Linked DNA regions of Daphnia pulex. The protein of the gene in region 3 interacts with the protein of the main gene of each other region in a pairwise test. Links are inferred from orthologs where the notes say so. Each region holds a gene or a part of one and is shown on either strand. Other genes may lie near its edges.

Region 1 (4,872 bases), on a different chromosome or scaffold from region 3:
AAAAGTCTCATTTCGTTTTGAATTTGTATTGTAGATATGTATTACACTTGAATTAAAATCAAAATAAAGGGAAAACAGGCTTTTAAACACGTTAGTTTATATCAAGGCAAAATAACTGGAACTTCATCCGCTTTTCGAAATTGACGAGGATTCTCTTGTGGGATCTGTTATGAGACAAAATTAAAATACGTTACCAACTACCTGATTACTGATCTATTACATCTTTAAAATCGTACTCAATACTGTCTGGTGTCGTAAGTGGTGGAATCATGTCCGCAGCTTCTGAAAAAGGATTCGAAAATTGCTGCAAGCGTGTTTCATTGGAATTTTTCCCGACGTTAAAACATGCTCGGGATAAGGCAGAAATGTCTGCTGATGCTTGAAGCGCTCCACTGTCTGAAAATTTGTTAACACATGAAAACAAACGACCCAGTTCTGCTGCCACCTCTCGCACGACTCTTTCGAGGATACGAGGAACGAGTGAAGGACTAACCTGAAACCCAGAATAATGAATTGGATGAATATATAACAACTAGAACAAGGACGTCAATACTTGGGCAACTTCTGCATGAACTGCAATCATGTTCATTATTATTTCTTTGCAGTAAGGCCGAATATCATCTGTAATAGGAATATTCTTGTTCCAATCGAAGCGTCCAGCATACATAGAAGGCTCTACAATTCCAATCAGTGGTTCAACCTTTTCTTCTAAATATGCTTCCATTAATCGCTCTTCGGTTTTCTCTAATAGATCTCTAGCCGCTTGAATGGCAGCCGACAGATCAGGATATCCTAATTTGTTCCAGTGCTCTTTCAGTCTAGAAAAATTAAACAGGATAGTAGTTATACTTTAAAACTCTTTCAATTGTTAATCATAAATGTTTAGTGTGTACCTGGGCAAAATATGAAGCATTGTATACTGACAATTACTGAGTCCTAGCAGTAATTTCATTTCACGAGTTGAATCTTCGGAATGATCCTGGTCAGAAGATGCCAGGCGTTCTGTGCTACGCGCAAAACTGAAGAGTAACTTTTGCACTAAGATATTCAAGTCATTCAGTACAGATGCGTTCTCCATCAAGTTAGTTTCTCGTTGTTCTGATTGAAAAACAGTTTCTTTCACCAGTTGTAGACACTCGATTACTTGTGTTTCAAATATATGAGGCTGAAAATTGGCATTGAAAGATAAATGTTGGCATAGTAGAATAGAGCCACATTACTACATTAAAAAATCTCTATATTACCAATTGCGTAATAGACCCATGGGATTCAATAAATTCCAACTTCCAGTTTTCTTGACTGGCAAGATGTGTGATATTTTCAGCAGTTTGCATTAATAGACTTCTCATGCAATGAACTCTAAAAGAAGATAATAAAGCGGAAGTAAGCGAAATATTGCCGATATCGAACTTAATAACCCTACCTTAAATCATGAAGCAAATCGCGAATGGCGTCAAGAGCTTCAACAGGTAAGTCCAGCGTAAGTAATTCAGCATAACAGGTTCGAACCGTTCGAAGACAAAGTACGAACCACGATCCAATTCCTTCTACATAAACGAAATTTGTAACGCAATTATTTTCTATACTGGTTAACAAGATGACTTTACTATATAAATAACGAAAGTAATTACCATGATCAGAAAATATTCCACTGAAGGCTTGCCAAATACCAAATTGAGCTCGATGTGGAGATTGACGATCCAGAGTGTGAGGAATTAAAGCAGCTCTGATGAGTTGACTGAATATTGTTACCACGTCCAATACCATTTTCTATAAATCCGCAATTGAAAGAGAATAAATGTACATGTATACACATAAATAAATAATGGGATTTGAATAATTACTTTGAATTCTTCTTTTTTCAATGTATCTGCCCGAACAAACAATTCCCCAGCGAAATAAGCTTGGCCAAGTTTCCAGAGTTCCGGAAAAACAGAAGTGAACCGATCGTTAAGTTCTTCAAGGAATGTTACCCTTCCCGGCGTAGTATTAGATGAGGATTCAGCAGAGTTAGATGACGGCAACAACAGATTATTGGATCGTTTTCCTTTGGATGGTGCAGATTTTACTAAACCAGCATCAAACAATGTAGAATTAAAATACACGAATTTATTAAATTTTGTTTTGGCAAATCCGCAAAAAATTACCAATTTCTTCTTGCTCCAAACTTAGGTATTTATCTTTACATTGGAATAATATTTGAGAGCAATGCTTATATTGTCCAGCAATACAAAGCCATGCTGGATCATTCGGACATTCAAGATTTGTCAAGTTTCTGTAATGGAATGACAAAATAATTCAAAAGTTTAGGTAAATCAAAATCATGCAAAAGTTAAGCTTTTTCTTGTACTGACCTAATAATTTTTTTTTGCTCTTCAAGTGATGCAGGATACTGTTGCAGTTTCTCTTGTAGCATCTCCCTGAGATTTAAAATTCGCTGCTCTGCTTCTTGCAGAACTCGTTTAAAAACCTATAATACATGAAGTTGCGATTGATCTAAAGTTGGCTCCGGGATCGTTAAAATACACCACACTGCATGACCTAAATATTACACACCTGTACTTCAGTTTGTCCGAACAAAGCATTAGCTCTTGCATAATCATTAATGACCAAATCATAATCAGCCTTTTGAATGTTTTTATCAAGGGTAGACGGTAAATGAAACAGAAATCGGAATCTTTGCAGAATTCCCAAAGCATTTCTGGTGCCGTCAGCTTGTTCTTTACGTTTGAGGACATCGTCGAACAACCGACCAGCTTCGGTTTTAGCGCCTGAAAATGAATTAATTTGTCAATAGTTAACAATTGCTGCTAATATCGCAATAAGAGTGTGCTGCATACTCAAAATGGAGTTTTCCAAAGACGCTGTCATATCCGGCCCGTATTTTGTTTTGTTTTCTTCTACAACTTTTTTTAAAGTCATCAAAGTGTCCATCTGTTCTATAACTGAGCCTGCATGGGTCTTCAATTAATGAAAATATTAGCTGTAAGTATTTATAAAGCAATCTTTTATTTATTTCCAAACCTTTAAAAAGGATATTTGTCCTTCTTTCTGAGCTTCAACCCGTCGTTTAAGAAAGCTAAGCCCAGCTTTCAGATCATCAAATCCGGTGCTGTGATGATGCTGCAACAAAAACCAAGACGGAGAAAAATTTTCACTTCCGAGCTCACCGTTCGATTCAGGAAATAATTCTTGCAGTTCTTCTTCAGGGTATTTTTTTCTATGTAATTGTTTTAATTCAATTAATAAAATATACCAAAACTAAGTGTAGTAGATAAAAACCAACACTGCATTTTCAACAGAAAGTCCTAAAGGGTCATCTTGTTGATAGCTGGAAGGAATCAAAGCTCTGTGTCTTCCAAGTCCAGTCAAATGTGATTCATCAACCCAAACTGCACTTTCTTTTAAAGGGCCAATAGTTTCATGGTAGCCCCTAAACTGTACAGTACATGAACCCTTTCCTCCAGATTTGGTGATTATGACTATATCACCCTTGCTTTTACCTGGACCTGATCTGGCCACAATTTTGTTACTTGAAACCCATTCAGCAGATAGCAAACAATCGGAGTTGCAAATTATTAGACCTACAGAAACAGAACAGACATGAATAACAATTCAACATAAAATTTTTCTTAATTTTACCAATAATATCATCAGGTCCACTGCCGAAATTTTCTCCTCGTATTGTTACACGAGTTCCAGGAGGTCCTTCCTTTGGGGAAACTCCAGTCACGATAGGTGGTAAACCCATTGTTGTTTGATACAAAAAAATTTAAATTTATAGCCCTTTCCACTACGACAGCAAATTCTTCACCCAACTTAAATACAAACGTGCACTACTGCGATTGATTATAAATGAATTTCGTAAAGACTTTCTCACACCCAATAGTCTTTGCTTGACAACTATGAGAGACAACAACATAGCAGACGAAGTTTACAGCATTGCATATATTATCACACACCTGTCACCAGACACCAAAAAAAAGTGAGAAATAAAAAGTATTAAACCAGTTTCTGTATTTATTCAACATGAATTTTGAGATATAGTAATCACATTTTATGACTTGGAAAATCTTTACTTGGTGCGGTATTTCTTGAAAAGGGGGTGTTTGGATAAATTATTTGAAGCTGATGGGCGTTTATATTCCATATAAACTGCGTCATCGGCACCGCTCATTGATGCCATGGTTCCAACGCGTCGTCCAAATGGACCAGGCCGACCTCCAATTTCTCCGGGTACACGCTCTTCATCTGCATCAATATCCGATGCTGTCAGAACCATTTGTAGCAGGTTGGCTTGCTCTTCCTTGCTCTTGTAGTTCAATTCCTGGTCTTGATCCATGCCCGCCATGCGAGTGATGACTTTATAGCTGTATCCTTGATTAACCAAGAATCGCTGACGTTTACGAGAGAAGCTCATTTCCAATGTATCTTGCGATACCAGCGTGTAGAAGAACGCATTGTACTCCTCCGCAATGGCACCTTTCTTGGCTCGAAGAATACGCCCCAAACGTTGAGCTTCTTGACGACGAGAGCCACCGTGCGAGGATATTTGAATAAGCACGTTGGCATCAGGCAAATCGAAGGAAGTATCAGCCACCTTACTGACGAAAATTGTGTTCACCTTCGGATTCAGTTTGAAATTTTGTAGAATTTGAAGCCTTTCGTTCTGAGATGTTGGACCGTAAATGAATGGCTTATTCATGGTAAGCGCATAGTGCTTAAGAGCATACACATTATCCGAAAAAACGATGATTTTGTCATTACGTCGCTCGTGGTAGCGAATAAGAAACTGACAGGCTCTAAACTTGTTAGGATTCATTACGAAGAGAAGCATTTTCTTTGCGGATTTACAGGCCAGATACTCGCGAT
Region 2 (4,847 bases), on a different chromosome or scaffold from region 3:
CTTTTTCACTCTCTTCTAGCTGTTCTTTAAGTCGAGAAACTTGAACGCTATCGCATACTGAAGAATTTTTTAGAGCATCTCTTTCTTCTTCCAGTTGACGCATACGGGAGGTCATGGAGGCAATTTCTTCTTTGGCTTTGTCAAGTTCAAGATTCAATGGCTCCAGTAGTTTAGTTTTCTCAACTGCTTGTTCTAATTGAGCAATCTGTTCGTCTTTTTTTTCTAGTGCCAATTTAACGATAGTCAATTCTGCCTGAACAGTTTGCGAGCGTTCATTCAACTTTTCAGTAATTTGTTGGTATTCAGATTCTTTAGCGTTTGCGGAATCAACGGCTTTTTCTGCTTTATCTTGTAATTCAAAGACCAATTTTTCCTTCTGGTCCATAGAATCTTTTAATTCGGCGATTTCCAGCTTCATTGCGTCTAATAATTCCAATTGTTTCTTGTTTTCATTTATGGCAGCGGTCGAGTCTTCTATTTGAAGTTTTAACTTTTCGCACTCTTTTTCACTCTCTTGTAGTTGTATTGAAGAATTTTTGAAAACATCTCTCTCTTCTTCCAATTGACGCATTTGGGAAATCATGTAGGCAGCCTCATCTTTCATTTTTTGAAGTTCAAGATTTAATGGCTCCAGTAGTTTAGTCTGCTCAAGCGCCGAATTCAACTGCTCAGACACAGCATTCATGGAAGTAACTCGTTCTTGAAGGACATTTATTTGGCTAGATAGATCGCTGATGTTGAGCTCTTTGCTTTTTAAAAGCTCTTGAAATTCCTGAAGCGTTGCGCTGTGTTGTGACGTTTCAGAATCTTTGTCACGCAAGAGGGTGCGAAGCTGTTGTATTTGATTCTTGGCAGAAGATTCCATATCTTCATTTGCTGCTTGAAGAAGTTCTTCGTGTTGTAACTGATATTTCTCCAATTCCATCCTAAACGCACACAAACGGAACTTGAGGTTAATTTTACCACTACCTGTCAATAACAAAAATCTTACGTGTGCTGTTGTTTAAGACCTAAAACGGCAGTGTCGATCGCATTTTGATGACGTTCTTCAATTTCTTCGACAAGTTTTTTATTCTGCAAACTCACAGACTGGATTTCCTCTAAATGTCTCTCTCTGTTTTCCTCGATTTGTTGAACCCAAGATCGTCGCTCTTCCAGGCTTTCTTCTCGGGCCTTCTCAGCAATTTTTTCTTTGTTTTCTATCTCACTCTTTAGATTTGAAATTTCTTCCTGTTTAAACATTTATAAAAATATATAGTAAAATTCAAACCATTTCTTTAAAAATCATTATGAACCTGCAGTCCTTGTTGGTTGTTCTTTTCTCGAGAAATTAGCGAAGCACAATGCAACTCTTTTTCTTCCAGAGCCAAAGTTTTTTCCTCTTGCATCTCGGCCAATCGCGAACGATAATGCTCCTCTGTCTGACGTAGCACCCTCGCGTGGTTTTCTGCCTCTTCACTTAATCTGATAAAGCATACTTAGCGATGAACAAAAAACTCCTGTAATTAACTTTTAACCTAATATACTTTTTCTGTAAAACAGCTTCCCAATGAGCGTCTCTCTCCTTTTTCGAATCTTCCAGACGATGGCCCATGTCCTCGTCCATTAGTTTGAGTGCCTCAGTTTTTCCACGCGAAAGTTCCTATTAACGCAACAAAAAAGTTTTGAATCTCTGAATTCTTTCTCTTTCTTTTTACAGTTCAGAATTTACCTTGAGAAGCTTTTGTTTTTCCACTTCAAGAACTGCTTCCGCGTCTTGTAGCTGCTTTGACGTCTGTTCTTTGATTTTATCCATTTCTGTCTCCAACAGAGTCACTGTATTGTTAATAAAATGAACCTTAACAAATGCGTTTTTCAAGCCAACAATGAAGTAATCAACCTTTGTTATTAAGTTGCTCGCGCTCATTACGGAGCCGAACCATTTCCTCCTCTTGTTTGACAAGTTCAGCATGAACTTTCTGCTTAGTTTCAGCAGATGCCAAAGCAGCTTCTTGTTCTTGACGTCGTAGAGTTTCAATTTCTGTTCGGGCCATATTTAAGCTTTCTGTAAGTTGAGCTAATTGATCTCGATGCATTTTCTGTAAAACATTACAACATTGATTACTAAAAAATCTGGAATAACGTAATCGTTCTCATTACCTGAACGCTGTCGATTTCTTCGTTCTTTTGGGTTTCTTTTTGTTTAAAGGTTTCATTCTCCGCCTGAAGCTCGCTGTTACGTTCGATGTGTGATTTAATATTTTCTTTACATTTCATAAGAAGTGATTCAAAACGCTGGAGTTTCTCTGAAAATATAACAAAGAACCATTCTAATGAAAAAAATATACACTTTACAAAACAAAAGAAAATTACCTTTCAATAGTTGAACTTCATTGTCTGTAGCTTCTCCCTTCACATCTTTGTCGGTCTCATCAAACGATTTACTGCTGGCAGTCTCGGAATTGTTTAAGTCTACTAATGGTCCCTCGGAGATGGAAGGCGAAGGGGAAGCCAATAATTTGACCTGGGCGGTAAGAAAGTAAGAGATATTGCGAAATTTGGACAATTTTGATATTACTTTTGTTTGCAGGACGGCTATTAAATTGTCTTTTTCTTCTAAATCCGACCTCAAAATTTCTTCCAAATGGGCTTTGGCTTGTTGCTCCAGAACACATTGTTCTTTGAGTTCCGATATCCTTCGCAGACTTCGATCTTGGGTCTCAGTTAGTACGTGCTACATGGAAGGGCAATAAGCAATCAATAAGAATTGGTGTTTTGGAAACCAAACAATATTCCCACCTTGACTTTTTCTCTGTCGCGCTCTAGTTCTTTATAATGTCGTGCCAAATCAGAGTAACGTCCTTTATATTTATGATAGCGCACCCTCATTTTCTGGTAGGCATTATAAACGTGCTCTTTGGATATTCGATCAACAGCATGCGTACCACTCTGGCTGGCGGAATCGTCAAATTCGCTTACATTAGACTCTAGATCCGACTGGACAGGAAACGTAATTCGATTAGGTTAGTTTATTCGATGCTTTGGTGAGGATATAGTACCTGGAATTGATACGGGTGATATGTCGGATCTGAAGAACCAGGAAGAAATGAGACATCACTGAAAACAGAGCTAAGTGATGACTGGCGGGATAGCCGACCGGTATGGTTAGCAGATTGTGGAGTGCTGGTCGTCATTTCTCGTTTGGGTTCATTTAGATTCACAGGTTGAAATCGTCCTTCTTTGTTTGAGCCTGATGGTGATGACGGTCGACTATCAACGTCGGCTATGCTAAATGCGTTGATTCCTGCTTCTCCATCTTCGGCGATGTCAACTAATGTCTGAGAAGATTTAAAATTAGATGAATGAGTTTTATGGATTTAATTAAATACATAAAAAACGATATGCATGTAATGTTGATGCAGAGGTAAGGCAAGATTTCAACAATAACAAATTGAACTGATATTTCTTATATTTCTAAAGCCACAGTCCTGTAAAGCCAACATGAGTGCACAAAATTACTTAAAAAAATGCAAAATTAATTTGCAAAATGCATCATTCATTGAATATCATCTCTAAGTTACCTCATGAGTTCTTTGAATTGCAGCATTTTCCCCCAGGCCACTTTGAATCTGTTGGGCTTCTATGACATCACCATTATGTGCTTCCCGAGTGAAAGGAGAGTACTGAAGGTTGTGAAGGAAAACAGGGTAAAAGCACAAAGCAGCATAATTAAAAGCTTGTTTTTCCATGCCCCACAACCAGACAAAATAGCTTGCACATTAAAGACCTCAATAGTTGATATTAAAAATACCGACTTGATCATCAATAAGCCATGACAGTAAAAACTCTTATGGTAATGAACACGGAGAATTCGGTATAGAATCCCTACCTGAGACAAATGTTGCTGCACAGAAGTTGGAAGCCGTAACGGAGATTGCTTTACTTCCTCAGCAATTTTATCCTTTAATTTCTTGAACATGATCGAACAATATCGGAGCAAGATCCACCTGTCAAAACTTATTGTATGACGTCACTCACACCATTAAGCGCTGGTGCTGCTCTCAAACCGTCAAACGTTATTTCAGCTTTAAGAAAATCTAATTGATTATTTCAATAATAATTTCACGTAAAAACTGCTATATTACTCAAGCGTAGTCGTATTATTATGTCTTCAGGGATCAGGAATATTTTTGAATTGTAAAAAAAAACTACAAAATTAGTTTTTCATACTAGGGCAACCGCAACCCAAACTAAATTTAGAGTTGTCTGCTAGAAAACCTTATTGTTTACGTCTCTGCACATATTCGTTCAAGTTAATTTCATGAATATTCTTGTCTGAATTAAAATATTCGATAATTTATTTACCTCTTTCGAACTTGTCGTGTATAAGAAATGGCCGATGATGCGTTGTTTGATTTTCTTCATATGGAAATAGTCAGTCAAGTGACAAAATCTGATCCTGGCTCCCTTCAAGATGGAGTAAGTTTTGTTCAATTCACATAGCTTTTTCAGAATAAACACTGACTGTTCTTACAGGATGAAGCTATGTCTAAATTGGAACAAATTGGCTACTCCACTGGCTATAGATTCATTGAAAGGTACAGAAAAAATCCTTTTGTATGTGACAGTTGTGACACTTAGTAATATTTATCATTTCTAAGACTAACCAAGGATTTATCAAGATTTAAAGATGAGCTAGAAGTCATGAAAGCTATCTGTAAAGATTTTTGGAGTGCAGTTTTCAAGAAGCAAGTTGACAACCTCAGGACTAATCATCAAGGTGTATATGTCCTCCAAGATAACAAGTTTAGGTTCCTTGCCTCAATATCCAACAGCAGGCAATATCTAGAATTAGCCCCAAAGGTATT
Region 3 (6,144 bases):
TGCTCCCCAGTAAAAGCATTGGCTTTACTTCTTTCACTTCGAATGGGCAGAATGTAGAGACTTGTCTAATGCAGCCCCTGCCACCTGGTTGAATGAAATTTAAATTTAAAAAACTTTGCCTTCATCCTTCATCGATTCACTGATCGAGCATTCAATGCCTTCTCATATATTCGTTCCAGTATTCTACTTTCTTCTCCAAGTCCACGTATATGTTATATATAGATGCGATAACCTGGTAGGTGGTACTTTATTCTTAAAGGGATACGGGATGAACGTATTTTTTATACTGCTTTTGTTCATTCAATATGTATCGCTGTTTAGGAAAATTTTTTGAACATGTAATTTAATTATGTTTCTGAAAATCAAGCATTAGTGAGAGCGTGCTATGTCTGAAAAATATTCAAGAATATCACTCATGGAGAAGTCCAACGTGATGAGCGCACCAGGGTAGCAACGCTGAATCATGTCTTCGAGGGATTTGTATTGACGGATAAATTCTTCTTGCATGGCCCGCCACACAACCTATTAAACAGCATTACATTAAATAATGCTTTATACATTAAAAAAATCAAATAACCTGTAACAGATTTTCTTCATCAGATAGATGTTTTTCCACTTTTTTGTACAGAGATTCGAGACCTTTTTTAACTTCTCTTCCAGGATAAATGGAAATCACTTTTCGTAGTTCTTGTTTACTAAACGCCATTTGGTAGCCAATTTCCGACTCTTTAACTCCTTGCGAAACTTTAGCTTGAACACCATCAAAAAATAACTAGAAAAACAAAAAACAAAATTACTTCACATTTTTAGCACATTAATTAGGTAACCTACATTGAGTTTCTCTAAAGGCCTTCCAAAATATTGTATAACGTATGATTGAAGTGCTTCCTGATATTTTTGCTTTGCTTCTTTCTTCTCGGCTTCCAGGACTGCGATTTTTAGCTGTGACAACAAAGCGTGTAATCGATGAAAATTTTCTATTAAAAAAACAATACAAAATACAAATAGCAATGAATTTCTTTGTTTCTTAGAATTAAACTCTGAATTAAAAGAAAAATGATATAATAATCGTTCAAATACCCATTTTGATCATGTCAGCTGGAGTCCTAGAGTTCTCTATAGAAATCCTTGGCATTACTTCAAACATGGCTCGGACTAAACGTGTGTACCATTTGTCAACATCAACCCGCCGTTCTGAATTCTTGAAAATATTTTCAATTATCACAGAAAATTCCTAGAAATGAAATAAAAGGATGCCGTGGGGAATTCAAAATAAATTCAAAATACAACTAACTTACAAATTTTTAATTTTGTTACTTTACCTCGAAATTAGAAATGAAAGGAAGAATCCCACATTTGGATTTCCTAGGCTGTTTTGAATCTTCAATCGAGCGAAGCTGAGTCATAAAAAACCGATCGAATGCTCGCTTCACGTGCACCAAAGATGAACCAAATGTAACACTGAGGAAGGAACCGGTATCGGTTGCAGACAAGACATGCTGACTAAGTCTCACGAGGACGTACAAAGGTGAGCTAGAAATAATAATAGCGATTAAAAAAAAAGCATTCCAATTTAAAAAGTACAGTATTCTAAATCACTTACAAGCTATCTACTTTCTCATAAGTAGCAAGAAAGCTCACAAGCTCCGGTTCAAGAACAGTAAACAAAACGCTCATCATTTTGCGCACTTCTTCGTTAATGGCTCGTTCTGGGGTTTTGTTACTTGTTGATGATTCATCCGCTTCATGGCCTCCTTGATCCAGTGCAAAAAATGCGACACAAAATTCTTGTTCCACTAGACATACTGGTTCAAGTTCGGCTAGTGCGCATTCAAGCAAGTCTTCTAGGCGTTTTCTTTCATGAATATCAACTTCAACCTGTAATAAACATATTTATCAATACATTTTACACATTTAAAATTTCGTATAGTATATTGTACCGTCCAAAGCTCTCTTTCATTCCCTAACAAATTTTGACTCGGCATTTGTATTGTTCCACTAGGGCTTGCCGCGGCGACATTTGTTCCTGAAGGATTTTTAATAGACAAGGAATGCCTGGTGCCCATGTCTGAACCCGAATCACTTCCACGAACTGCGGTAAACATGTTATAACCAGAAATCACTAAAGGTGGATTCAAATAAAAAATTGCTTCTCCTTACGTTTTTTCTCTCGCAATCCTATCACTTTCGAACGCGCTTCATCAAAGAACTGCCGTAGATCTCTTTCATACAATTTACATATTGATGTAGTGTATACTTCGAGTAGTTTCTCATAGCAGGCATGGTCTGTTGCTTTTAGCCAATGCATTAAGGGAGCATACATTTGTAGTTGAGAATGCAGTTTCCCGTGTTTAGCCAGTGACACTGTTGTTTGCGAAGAGTTTGAACTTCTAGAGCTTTGACTACTGGTTTCTCCAGAATCATTGCTCTAAAAAGAAAACCAAAAAATATTATTGAAGGGAAAAAAAAGCGTAAGTATAAACTGATTTTATTACTAAGTGAATGAAGAGGTTGTTGAGTTGGCGAGTAACTGTGGGTGTAAATTTTGCTCGCCATTTCTCCAACTGCCGTCGCTGATCTTGAACCGCAACCATTTTCTCAAGTCCTTAAGAGTGACGATTAGAGAAATGAGAATAGAATTATTTTATTTTGGTTTCGAAAAATGCAAGTACCTGGTTTTAGTTCAGCATTCATAGCACGTTGAAGAGATTTAGCAGCTATTATAGCGTTTTGAAGGCCTGTAGGACTATTTAAGTCTGGATTGTTCAAAGTTACTTGCTGGGAATGTGGAATATCTAAATGTGCCTGTACCACAAACACATTGATTGTAGATGCGGATAAACGAGGATTGAAAACGGCAGCCTTACGACTAAATTATTGAGTTCCATAAGTAGAAGACGATTGTTACGGTTGGCAGTTTCCAGGGACACATTCTTTTCACCTACTGTTGCCATTGCAACCCGGGCTTGGAGTAGAATGTTTTCATACTTGTCTAACTCGGTTTCAATGGATGCAGCTTCATTTTCGGCTGCTTCGAGAAGGTTCAACAATTGTATGACTTGAGCTTCAGAGCCCATCAAGCTTTGAATATTTGCCTATAGTAGAAATCAGTTCAGTTATGATATTTCAAATGATAGATTTTTATTGCATAAAATACTCCATCAAGTAAAGACAAGTCCTTAGCCAGTTGCTCCATAAACTTTTCTGCATTACTCAAGGCATTATTGGACTGAGATAATAATCGTTCCAGGTCTTTCTCTTCTCTGTCTGTAAGGGCTTGATAATCCTCCTCACCAATGCCTCCATCCATTGGACCACTGACTAGTTTGAATCAAACAGGTGAACAACTTATAAAATGCTTCACAAGTTTCAATTTGATACCTTCATGATCTAATGCTACGGATGTTTCTGGTATCACTGAATCTTCTATGATGCCTGGAGGGATATTAACAAACATTGGACTTTGTTTCGGCAAATACTTTGAACAAAGTTTCCATAAAATGGAAAACAAAAGAAGCCTTTCTTGAACATTAGATGCAGACCAAAGGTATACTTTGTCAAAATGAATGCTGAATTCAGCTGTTTCCTACAAAATAAAAAATTACAATTGTTTTAAGAAGATGACACAACTCTTTGAGGGTCTGCATGGGCAAACCAGACAAATATGAAAACAATTTCTTTATACCTTGTTGCCATCAATACCATCCACAGTTTTGAGCTCTTTCAATGGCCAGCTACTCTTCTTCTTGTAAACATTGTTTTTCTCAGTTTTCTTTACCTGTTTATTGAAAATAATGACAGAATAAAGAACATAATTTGGTGCATGGGAAAATTGAAGTAAGTATACCTTGTATATTACGGCACCGATGCCTTGATCTGCAGTAACTGCAACGCACAAAAAACAAGGAAGTGCCTTCTTTTTCTTGCCAACACTAGTCACATGAGCCAATCCAACTAATCTTTCTTCAGCAGGCGAAAATAATTCTCGCTGCAAACTGTGCCTTAGCGCAGCCATTTTATTAAACGAAGAAGTAACGAGAAAATGTCAATCAATCGTCAATCAATCGGCTAACAATTAGATTCAATAACAATAACGTTGAATCGCCAGCAGGTTGCATACACTATATTATGTCTGCTGTGTTTCGTGACAACTGACAATATTGCAGACGAAGCTGTCCCACCCACCATCTGATGGTGCTGTCCTCTAACAGTGATACGGAGAACTTATGAAGTCAAAGGGTTATTTTTTAAAAAACGCGGAAACTCGCGCGTGCAGCAAACGATCGGATTATTTATTCATAATTTTAATGGGAGGAAGGGGTGGACTATCAGACCGAGGGGCGTGTACAGCAGATCTGGTGACCATAATTATTAATCTCGAATTTTCACTGAGAACTACTCTTGAAATATAACATTATAACATTTATCTTAAACTTGATTTTCTAGATTTTCATTTGTCTCATTTGTTCATTTGTTTTCCTTAACGCTCAACGTGTCGAAAATTTCATTTTGGATATTTTAGCTCAACCGTATTTCTTAAAAAATTCACAAAAGTGTTACAGTACAACAATATGTATTTATATCAGATGCACATAATCATTCAGATTCATGAATTTTTTGTTTTGCATACCGAGATTATTATATACGATAAAGATGTGAATATTATGACACTTGACGCACACAAAAGTTAGGCCCGCCATGTTCAAATAACACACGCACATTTGAAAAAGGAGAATTTTGGCATGTAGAGTCATCAAATCGCACACTCTTCAGAAATAACATATTGCAACAAATGATGCCAATAGAGAAGAGTCCCAAATAAATCTGGCGGTGTGATGTCGACGCATCGCTTCGGTCAAGAAATATCAGAATAATATATGTACACGAAGGAATAACAGAAAAAAAACGTTACAACTCTAAACACAATTCTTAAAGTACAAAAGAAAACAGGATCCAATGTCAGTAGTGATTTCAATATATCTCTTTTACTGGTGGGTGTGTTTGTAATATATAGAAATGGACAGGGAAGGAAAGTAAAAAAAAAGATGAATAAACCATCAAATATGTCGAAGAATGTTTCTACTCGGATTCCATCTCGATATTTGATTATCACATGAGACGGTGATGACTACGCTTCATTTTTCGGCTCGAGCAGTTTTTTGTTTTTCTTTTCCTGGTGACGTAAAAATACAGCGCAAATGATTCCGTCAAAGATTACAAATTAGAATGACAGAGCACCGTAATCATAATCAGATTTTTTTGTTATTTTTGTTATTTTTTTTTTTTTACAAAGCACAATATTTTTTAGTTTCGAAGTACGATCATGGGTTTGGTGGATTAATTATAAAACCCTGTTTTTTTTTCAGTGTTGCCCCCGTCTTTGTTGGCGTGACGACAAGCGATGGCTCTTGCGCCGTTTTCGCTTGGTGTCGTCTCTCCGGAAAATAATGTTGCTGGCATCATCGGCCAATTGCGGGTAGTCGTAGATGCTGTGCAAATCCGAGCCGACAAAGCCGTCGACTCTTCCGTTGGTCATCAGCTCCACCCTTTCTTCAACGCTCCAGTCCACCTGCTGGCCGGGCAATCCGCTTTCCACCAACTGTTTCTCGCGCAGCCAAGCGACTTCAACCGCTCGCCGATGAGACGACCGGAGTATTCGCTGTCTAGCCGCTTCCACTTCGACACCGTAGCTGATGCTGACGGATAGATCCGCATTGGCCAATCGCAATTCAGACCCGCCTCCTTGTTCCGTCGGGTTTTCAACGAGCGTGATGTTGAACTGGCCACTCAAACGCTTCAAATCTTCCTGGTCGTCGCGCAATTTCGCCAGACTTTCCTTGACAAAGTAGAAGATTTCCTGTTGGCCCATTCCCGTGCGGATGTCTAACCAGTGGGTGGTGGAACTGTCGCCCAGGACCGAACCCAACACGTCTTGCAATATGCCACCGCTGCTGCCCTGCGAGTCGGGCAACAAAGTGACAGACACGCGACCACCCACCCGCGAGAGGAGGATACCTTCACCCAAGGCCGGCTTCCGGTAAGCGATACTGGGCAGGGGGTTCCGTCTAAGCTCGCCTCCTGACCGCAGCTTGGGAGGCGGCACAAAACTGAGAACGGAAAATCCTTTTTGCACGTTTTCAGTCA

The links.
Region 1: the proteins of exocyst complex component 1-like (region 3) and exocyst complex component 2-like interact in binary tests that used the Homo sapiens proteins (3 or more experiments, as listed by UniProt). The link is inferred for Daphnia pulex from reciprocal best matches to the Homo sapiens genes EXOC1 and EXOC2.
Region 2: the proteins of exocyst complex component 1-like (region 3) and golgin subfamily A member 4-like interact in binary tests that used the Homo sapiens proteins (3 or more experiments, as listed by UniProt). The link is inferred for Daphnia pulex from reciprocal best matches to the Homo sapiens genes EXOC1 and GOLGA4.

What each region holds. Positions count from the first base shown.
Region 1 is NC_060020.1:5,847,950-5,852,821, reverse strand, and holds exocyst complex component 2-like, read right to left. Parts: upstream 3,934-4,872; 5' UTR 3,752-3,933; coding exon 3,643-3,751; intron 3,585-3,642; coding exon 3,287-3,584; intron 3,221-3,286; coding exon 3,025-3,220; intron 2,962-3,024; coding exon 2,841-2,961; intron 2,772-2,840; coding exon 2,557-2,771; intron 2,471-2,556; coding exon 2,355-2,470; intron 2,276-2,354; coding exon 2,148-2,275; intron 2,069-2,147; coding exon 1,845-2,068; intron 1,771-1,844; coding exon 1,632-1,770; intron 1,548-1,631; coding exon 1,424-1,547; intron 1,360-1,423; coding exon 1,245-1,359; intron 1,166-1,244; coding exon 894-1,165; intron 819-893; coding exon 554-818; intron 494-553; coding exon 237-493; intron 165-236; coding exon 92-164; 3' UTR 11-91; downstream 1-10. Other genes in the region: general transcription and DNA repair factor IIH helicase subunit XPB-like, read right to left, coding at 4,076-4,872. UniProt on the Homo sapiens protein: Component of the exocyst complex involved in the docking of exocytic vesicles with fusion sites on the plasma membrane.
Region 2 is NC_060028.1:8,530,540-8,535,386, forward strand, and holds the start of golgin subfamily A member 4-like, read right to left. Parts: upstream 4,073-4,847; 5' UTR 3,959-4,072; coding exon 3,869-3,958; intron 3,663-3,868; coding exon 3,561-3,662; intron 3,318-3,560; coding exon 3,039-3,317; intron 2,977-3,038; coding exon 2,779-2,976; intron 2,714-2,778; coding exon 2,558-2,713; intron 2,504-2,557; coding exon 2,353-2,503; intron 2,286-2,352; coding exon 2,140-2,285; intron 2,079-2,139; coding exon 1,880-2,078; intron 1,816-1,879; coding exon 1,712-1,815; intron 1,643-1,711; coding exon 1,527-1,642; intron 1,465-1,526; coding exon 1,296-1,464; intron 1,231-1,295; coding exon 992-1,230; intron 927-991; coding exon 1-926. Other genes in the region: trafficking protein particle complex subunit 6b-like, read left to right, coding at 4,372-4,458, 4,516-4,577, 4,641-4,842. UniProt on the Homo sapiens protein: Involved in vesicular trafficking at the Golgi apparatus level. May play a role in delivery of transport vesicles containing GPI-linked proteins from the trans-Golgi network through its interaction with MACF1. Involved in endosome-to-Golgi trafficking.
Region 3 is NC_060019.1:8,325,480-8,331,623, forward strand, and holds exocyst complex component 1-like, read right to left. Parts: upstream 4,202-6,144; 5' UTR 4,016-4,201; coding exon 3,848-4,015; intron 3,779-3,847; coding exon 3,686-3,778; intron 3,587-3,685; coding exon 3,382-3,586; intron 3,322-3,381; coding exon 3,158-3,321; intron 3,096-3,157; coding exon 2,868-3,095; intron 2,806-2,867; coding exon 2,673-2,805; intron 2,606-2,672; coding exon 2,496-2,605; intron 2,429-2,495; coding exon 2,161-2,428; intron 2,093-2,160; coding exon 1,941-2,092; intron 1,879-1,940; coding exon 1,604-1,878; intron 1,534-1,603; coding exon 1,323-1,533; intron 1,235-1,322; coding exon 1,081-1,234; intron 978-1,080; coding exon 832-977; intron 773-831; coding exon 578-772; intron 523-577; coding exon 370-522; 3' UTR 218-369; downstream 1-217. Other genes in the region: teneurin-m-like, read right to left, coding at 5,363-6,144.